2 linked regions of the Oryctolagus cuniculus genome follow. Each later gene encodes a partner of the first gene's protein in a complex. Links are inferred from orthologs where the notes say so. Each region holds a gene or a part of one and is shown in the gene's direction. Other genes may lie near its edges.

What was found.
Region 2: the proteins of ITGAV (region 1) and ITGB6 are in contact, whole or in part, in a crystal structure (PDB 9CZA), measured with the Homo sapiens proteins. The link is inferred for Oryctolagus cuniculus from reciprocal best matches to the Homo sapiens genes ITGAV and ITGB6. Residues at the interface, in NP_002201.2 of Homo sapiens: Tyr48, Phe51, Lys72, Trp123, Leu141, His143, Gln150, Glu151, Arg152, Pro154, Asp178, Ala179, Phe184, Gln186, Phe189, Pro204, Tyr208, Trp209, Asp249, Tyr251, Tyr254, Pro274, Arg275, Arg278, Thr279, Met302, Ala303, Tyr305, Phe308, Pro328; in NP_000879.2 of Homo sapiens: Ser183, Pro184, Phe185, Lys187, Thr188, Thr189, Pro190, Ile236, Asp237, Thr238, Pro239, Asp273, Ser274, His275, Phe276, Gly277, Met278, Asp279, Lys281, Leu282, Ala283, Gly284, Val286, Pro288, Glu308, Thr311, Ile312, Gly313, Gln314, Ile316.

Annotation. Positions count from the first base shown.
Region 1 is NC_091434.1:53,695,454-53,699,272, reverse strand, and holds part of ITGAV (integrin alpha-V), read left to right. Parts: intron 1-154; coding exon 155-357; intron 358-2,035; coding exon 2,036-2,227; intron 2,228-2,641; coding exon 2,642-2,687; intron 2,688-3,819.
Region 2 is NC_091434.1:81,824,538-81,828,356, forward strand, and holds part of ITGB6 (integrin beta-6), read left to right. Parts: intron 1-1,222; coding exon 1,223-1,354; intron 1,355-1,562; coding exon 1,563-1,980; intron 1,981-3,819. UniProt on the Homo sapiens protein: Integrin alpha-V:beta-6 (ITGAV:ITGB6) is a receptor for fibronectin and cytotactin. It recognizes the sequence R-G-D in its ligands. Internalization of integrin alpha-V/beta-6 via clathrin-mediated endocytosis promotes carcinoma cell invasion.

The DNA of each region.
Region 1 (3,819 bases):
TGAATTTGAAATGGCTACTATGGTCATCGTTTTGTGCTTCCATGTACCTGTGAGAGATGTGGAAAAGGGGAAACTGAGTTTTAATAAGAAAGAAAATGTGTATTAATAACAGATGGAATTTGATCTTGCTTTGGTGAGGAGTTCTGTCTCTCAGTTATGCAGACGTGTTTATTGGAGCACCTCTCTTCATGGATCGAGGCTCCGATGGCAAACTCCAAGAGGTGGGACAGGTCTCCGTGTGTCTGCAGAGAGCCTCCGGAGACTTCCAGGTTACGAAGCTGAATGGGTTTGAGATCTTTGCACGGTTTGGCAGTGCCATAGCTCCACTGGGAGATTTGGACCAGGACGGCTTCAATGGTAAGATAGAAGTTAAGCAAAAGAAGTTAAGTCCTTGATTTCTGAGCCCATCTGGGAAAGTCCATAACCCCATCTGTTGAAATTCGCATGAGCAAATCTCTTCTGGAAGATGGATTGAATGTCAGTGAGCAGTACACCAAGTTTATAGATAGGTTGCATTTTTTTTACCTTAAAAATCAGAGCAAAATTTTCAAAAATTGATTCTCAAGAGAGATTCAGAACGGATGATTTCTGAAAGGCAGTTTTTTCATTCTCACAGAGCCCAGTGCTGGTGACTTTCTGTGTCTCTGTGTCCTGCTGAGCAACAGTGCCCTCTACTGTTCATTTGGCTACAAATATAAAAAAATGCTCCCAAGGCACATTGCAAGGCAATGCTGACTAATGTATATCTTATGCGTACCTCAAAGGTATGCTTTAGCAATACTATTTTGAAAGTCATAACTTTGTTGTGACTGTCCAAAATGTTCTAAGTGAGTTTCTGTTTCCCTTCATGGGGACACACAAACATATAAGCCCACTATTTGATGATCGTCTTATTTCAATAGCTGTAGACATCTTTAAAAAGCAAAGTTAGCTTTCAGTATAGAACTTTGGAAATGTGAAATACAAATTACAAAGTACCAAAATACTTTCTAAAAGATAATACTAAAACCTTTCTATAGATCATGTAGTAGAGAGATGCACTGTTGGTTTGTTTGTGTAATCAACAATATATCAGGATTCTTACTAAAAGAAAAGCTACACATTAAGTAAACTTCAAAGATACAGAACCACAGAATAAGTAATCAAGTAATGTGGAAACCCAGATAATGATAAAGACTGCAGGTTTTTTAAGGCAAGGTAACATGATGGAGAGCAGCTATATAGAGTGTATGACAGAGTGGAGGGGGAGAGGGGCAGGGACCAGGGGACACTGGCAGGATGATGTCTGATGTAGGATTTGAGCATGAGGAAACAACAATGAAAAAGGCCAGTGGTGTTGGGAAGAGTGCATAGTTTGAAGAGAATGAGTCATAGAGGCAAGCCTTGAAGTGAGAGGTCACTTAGAAGGTCACTTCACAGTTATAGACACAGGGTGGCCACAGCAGCAGAGAAAAGTGGACCTATTTATAGTATATTTTAGAGTCAAAAAAGGTCCTATTGACCATTGGTGTTTTGTTTATTTTAAGAATTTATAATTTTATTTGTTTGAGTTGAACAAGATGAAAATGAAGTCCTTTCAAATTTGTGATCCAAATGGATTTCTGTTCAGAAAAAATTAAAGTGATGCATGAATCAACAAAATAGAATTTTGCTACCTAGAATGAACTTTAGATGAATCTTTTGACATGTTCTCCTCCTACCTTCCACACCCCCAAGTTTAAGTATGGGGCACTTAAGGTTCAGAAGTAAATGATGTATATAAGGTCAGACCCAGAATATATGGCTCTAAGTTATTGTCATTTCTACAGTTTTGCTTGAACTTCCTTGAATTATATTGTTGCTTTTTGAATTACTGAACTTTGAACCAATACTGATCAAGAGAAAAGGTTCTGTGAATATTCCGATCCCCATATAAATGACTGAGTACTGAGACTTCAGTGTCACCACTCTTGCCTTCTTCCCCCCTCCTCCTCCCTTCTCATCCTCTCCTTTCCATGCTGCTTCTTCTCTTCCTCCTCTTCCTTTCACCCCATAGATATTGCAATTGCTGCTCCCTATGGGGGTGAAGATAAGAAAGGAGTTGTGTATATCTTCAATGGAAGGGCAGCAGGCTTGAATGCAGTACCGTCTCAAGTCCTTGAAGGCCAGTGGGCTGCTCGGAGTATGCCACCAAGCTTTGGCTATTCAATGAAAGGAGCCACAGATATAGACAAAAATGGATATCCAGGTGATTTTCTACAAATACTTACAGCTCTGAGAGTTTTCATTCCTAAAGTAAATAATGTTATTATTCTCCTGATTTGTTTTATAAGCCATTTCAATTCAATATTTCAAGTATTATGAAACCTCAACCATGCTCAAAGCATTGTTCAAATCACTGAAGGTGATGTGAAGGAAAGGCAGCTCTGTTTCCTGCGAGTGTACAACGTGAAGCACATGTGCGGAGCTTTTGTTCACTGTCTTGAAGTCTGTAATGAGACGTTAGAAGAAAATGTTGTAGAAGATGTTGTTTTTGTTGTTGCTGCCTTACAATCTCTTGACTGAGAATCTGCTTAAATTCTTTTGTGTGCATTGAAAGTTTTATAGCATGGTGTAGAAATTTAAAAACCATTATTAACATGTGTTTTCACTCTCTCTTCAGACTTAATCGTAGGAGCTTTTGGTGTAGATCGAGCTGTTTTATACAGGTGAGTATATCCGGTATTGTGTATTATAGGATTACTCTGAATTATTTGAAAGTTTTTAAGCTAAATGTCACTATTTGAATTTCAGCTCAATTTCTTGAATAATGAAATGTGTTCTTTCTGTCCAGCAATTGCTGCAAGTAAATAATATTTACACAGAAAAGTCTCAAGAAAAAACTATAGATGTTTTATTTTTTAGTTTTAGTTTTTTAAAGTTTTATTTTTTATTTGAAAGGCAGAGGTAGAGAGAGAGAGAGAGATTGAGGTTTTCCATCCCCAAATTCCCTCCACAGATGTCTGGATCTGGGCTGAACCCAAGCAAGGAGCCAGGAACTTCTTTTGGGTTTCCCATGTGGATGCAAGTATCCAAGCAGCTGGGACATTTTCCGCTGCTTTCCCAGGCACATTAGCAGGGAGCTGGACTGGAAGTGGAGGAGTCCAACTGGCGCCTATATGGGATGCCGGTGTTGCAGGCAGCAGCTTTACCTGCTATGCCATAGCTGGCCCCAGATGTTTTCTTTTGAAAGGAATTCACAATTTTTCATCCTTGTCCTTTAAATTGTATTCAAAACTATTCCCCTATTGAAATCAGACATGACCCCCTAAAATTTATACAAAAATGTGGCCCCTTAAAATTCCCCAGTAGTGCTATCTGGGGTGCCACATATGCTACCAGAATTTGGGGTGCCATACTATTTCACCATGTGTTTATTAATAAACCCCCAATATTAATAAGCCCTAGAGGGTTCTTGCCTAATATTTGCAGAAGAATTCTAAATACCGGCACAGATAAATGAGGCAGCATGGTATGTTTTAGGCTTTTATTTAGTGAGAAAGGTGCATAGGAAAGTGAGGGCTTTAGTAAGAGAGAGAGGTAAATCTGGGTTCATACCAAGCACCAGGAACCAGCCACGTAGAGGAGCATCTGGGCCAGGAAGCCTGGAGCACGTGGCCCAAAGGCCACGCACCCTGGAGGCGCAGGGCTACAGTGAGCCCCCTCCTGGCAAGAGGCAAAGGAAGAAGAGAAGGGATGGACACACCCGCGCATCCCAGCTTTTAACCCACTTCCAAAGGGGAGTGGTTAATTAACCTGATTGGCTGGTGGGCACCCAGGTGTGGCCAGGTAGGGGGAAGA
Region 2 (3,819 bases), about 28 Mb from region 1:
GCATTTGTCTCTTTAAGCTTTGAACCCACTGCTCCATGGTCTCCAACACACCTGTCATAATTCCTGATGATTTTAGTGTGAATAGAATTTGGAGGACGTCAGGGTCCTTTTGCTATGGGGTGGGCTAGATCATACTTAAGGAAAAGTTAAAGCTGAATGTGGTTTAACCATGCCAACAGCATTTTCAAAACTTTTTGAATGAATTGAAATATAACTTAATATTATTCTAACTTATTTTTTATATTAATTTGGTTGTGTCCCCCTAAAATATACTTTTATTTTGTAAGTGAACAAAGGAGAGTAAAAAGTAAGATGATCAGCTTTTTTTTTTTTTTTTTTCCTGAGGGAAGAAATCCGGTCTTATTATTTCCCCAGAACTGACTCTAAACTAAATGAACAAAAGGTACTAAATACATTCCAACAGCTTCCACCCACATTTCGACATCTGTAGAACTAGGATCCAGCTTGGAGTTAGCAGTGCCTCACAAGCACCGTCTGCCAGGTGGCAGGCATGATGGAGCTTTCTTTGACAATGTGATTGTCGTCACTTCCATTTGTTGAACACGTGTTAAGTTTAATGGATTCAAAAAGTGTCTGCCACAATTCTATATTCAAATGAAAAGTGATGTATGCAGAAATGTCCCGACACAGAGCAGCAGGGTGTTAATTTGATACCAGTGAGGAGATATTCACTGTTGAAGGAATTACTGCCATTCTGCAGTCCTTCCAAAGCAACAGCCAGCTGTGTTATGGGACCCAAGAAATGGTAATACTTACAAGTAAAGTAAGATGTTTTATTTATCACTGAGATATAAGCAAAAAAAAAAAAAAAAAAAAAACTGCCTTTTATATGCCAAGCCGTGCAACTCAGGGGAGGAGAATTTGCCAAATCCCTCAAAATGGATAAAATAATTTTCAAAGCTAAATTGTTTTAGACTGATGGGTATATTTCATATATTGTGCAGAACTGTCTCCAGGTATCTGTCATAATTTAATTGTCATAAAATAATAGCAAATCTTATAATTGATGGCATCTTCGATTTGATAAAATATGAAATATATTGATTGCTCACTTTCTTGCTTGAGTAATGACATGATGAATTTATTTCAGACCCTATTTAATTTTATTCATTTTTAGTTTAATGAAGATGATTCACAGTTCCTTCTTCTGGCTGTATGTTATGGTTGTGACTTCATCTAACTCTCTGTGCCTTAACTAAAGGAACTTCGGTCAGAAGTGGAACTGGAAGTATTAGGAGACACGGAAGGACTCAACTTGTCATTCACAGCCATCTGTAACAGCACCCTCTTCCCACACCAAAAGAAATGCTCGCACATGAAGGTCGGAGACACAGTAAGTAGAGAGCCCAAAGACCTGAAATAAATAGGCCAGGGGGTGAGAACTTGGCAGAGCTCACTGAAGCTTTGTATTCTTTCAAGGCTTTAAAAGATCTAAGGAGCATCTCTTTTACAAAGCTGATGGATGCAAAGCTTGCAGCCTGGTTTCACCTCTTGTCTGCTGGTGGCTGGAGGAAGCAGATCGTTCCTATGTTCTCTCACAGGCTTCCTTCAACGTGACCGTGAGCGTAGCCAACTGCGAGAAGAGAAGCCAGCACATTGTCATAAAGCCCGTGGGCCTGGGAGACACCCTGGAAATCCTCATCAGTCCCCAGTGCAGCTGTGACTGTCAGCAAGAAGTGGAAGTAAACAGCTCCAAATGCCACGATGGCAACGGCTCCTTCCAGTGTGGAGTGTGTGCCTGCCACCCAGGCCACATGGGTCCTCGCTGCGAGTGTGGCGAGGACATGCTGAGCACGGACTCCTGCAGAGAGGCCCCCGGGCAGCCCTCGTGCAGCGGCAGGGGTGACTGCTACTGCGGGCAGTGCGTCTGCCACTTGTCTCCCTATGGAAACATTTACGGGCCGTTCTGTCAGTGTGACAATTTCTCCTGCGTGAGACACAAAGGACTGCTCTGTGGAGGTAGGCTATACCACGTCTCACTCTATATCAGGCAGGGGCTTGGCGTCCTTCGCTCTGTCTGCAGTTTCCTGGGCATAGCAGGTGCTCAGGAAACATTTGTTTATCAATTGAGTGACTTCATGTTTAGGCTGAGGTTACTGAATCTTGCTTTGTTGTTGTTGTTTTCCTAACTCTAACATTTACCTGGGGTAAAATCTCAATCAACTGAATTTATATTTCTATTATAATTTCCCTAAAAGTAAGTAAAAGATGGCAGTGTCTTCTCCCTAGCCATCCCCCCAAACCTTGAAGAAATGCCTGTAATCTTAACTCCATTACCTTCTAGACCTCTCTGGATCAAGCCGCTGAATGCCCCAATTCTTAAATGCCTATTACTTTGGAAAAATAAAAAGCTAGATCACTAAACAGGTAATGCTGCCAAGGTCAAGGAGCACAGAATTACGCAGTGGACTTTGAAGGCCTTCATTCACTGCAGAGATATTTACTAAGCACCTGCCAAGTGACAGACACCAGGCTAGGGGTGTAAGAAAGATGGGTGAGGACAAGTGGAAAGCAGCCAATGGAAAGCATGAAATGAAAAGCTACCTGGAATTTCTGGAGAAATTTGAAAAACTTAAAAATAGGAATATTTATGTTTTAATAGTCTCTGTACAGGTAAAGTCACTGTAGTTTAAGAATACACAAGCAAAGCTCAAAAAGTTCATAGAAATGCTAAATTAAAAGAATTTAAGGGGCAACAAATTTTTAGTTTTTTCATAATACACATTTTCCATTAACTTTCTGAGGCACTCTCATATTACATATAACATGATGTATAATCATTCTGGTATGTAGAAATATATATTTAAGTATAACCTTTCAGGCAATTATTATGTGTATGTGAATATACTTTTTAAAATTTATTTATTTGAAAGGCAGAATTACAGAGAGGCAGAGGCAGAGAGAGAAAGAGAAAGAGAGAGAGAGAGAGAGAGGTCTTCTATCTGCTGGTCCTCTCCCCATATGGCCGCAATGGCCGGAGCTGCACCAATCCGAAGCCAAGAGCCAGGAGCTTCTTCCTGGTTTCCCACATGGTTGCAGGGGCCCAAGGACTTGGGCCATCCTCTACTGCTTTCCCAGGCCATAGCAGAGAGCTGGATCAGAAGGGGAGCAGCCAAGACTCAAACTGGTGCCTATATGGGATGCCAGCACTGCAGGTGGCGGCTGTGCCCGCTAGGCCACAGCACAGGCCCCAATATACTTTTAAATGATAGAAATTTGTGCTACAATGGCAATAATAACTGCCAAATCTAAGCTGTAGTATCTCTGTTTTTCAGTCCGAAAGCAAACAGATCTTCAAAACCAGAAAGCCATTATCTTTATAGAAAAACTCAGCGGGTCGTGTTTTCAAGCCAGCATCAAGAATATAGAAAAGAGTCTAATTTTCAGAAAAGAAAGACATGAGAGAACGAAGCGTCAAAGAACTGCACGCCTTCTGAGCGCCAGTTGATGCCATTTCACTTCCTCACTACCGCTGTGGCTGTGCGAAAGTGTAGGCTCTTCTGAGCAAAATCTGCCTTTTCCTCCCTTACTGACTGAAACATTTAGGATCTGGCCCACTTGAGACCACTCCTCTTCCCTCTCACTCAGAGGTTTACTTGCTGATTTATGGAGTGTATTTCCAAACCCATATCAGTTCTCTTCCCACCTGATGGAAACAAGACCCAATCAGGAGAGCAGAAGCCAGCTCTGGCCGTCCCCACACCATAGAAAGCATCCATGTGGGAAAATCCCACACTCCATTTCTAGCAGAAGTCTTTTTTTTTAAATAGGTGTTAGAAAGCATTTGAAATTATTTCC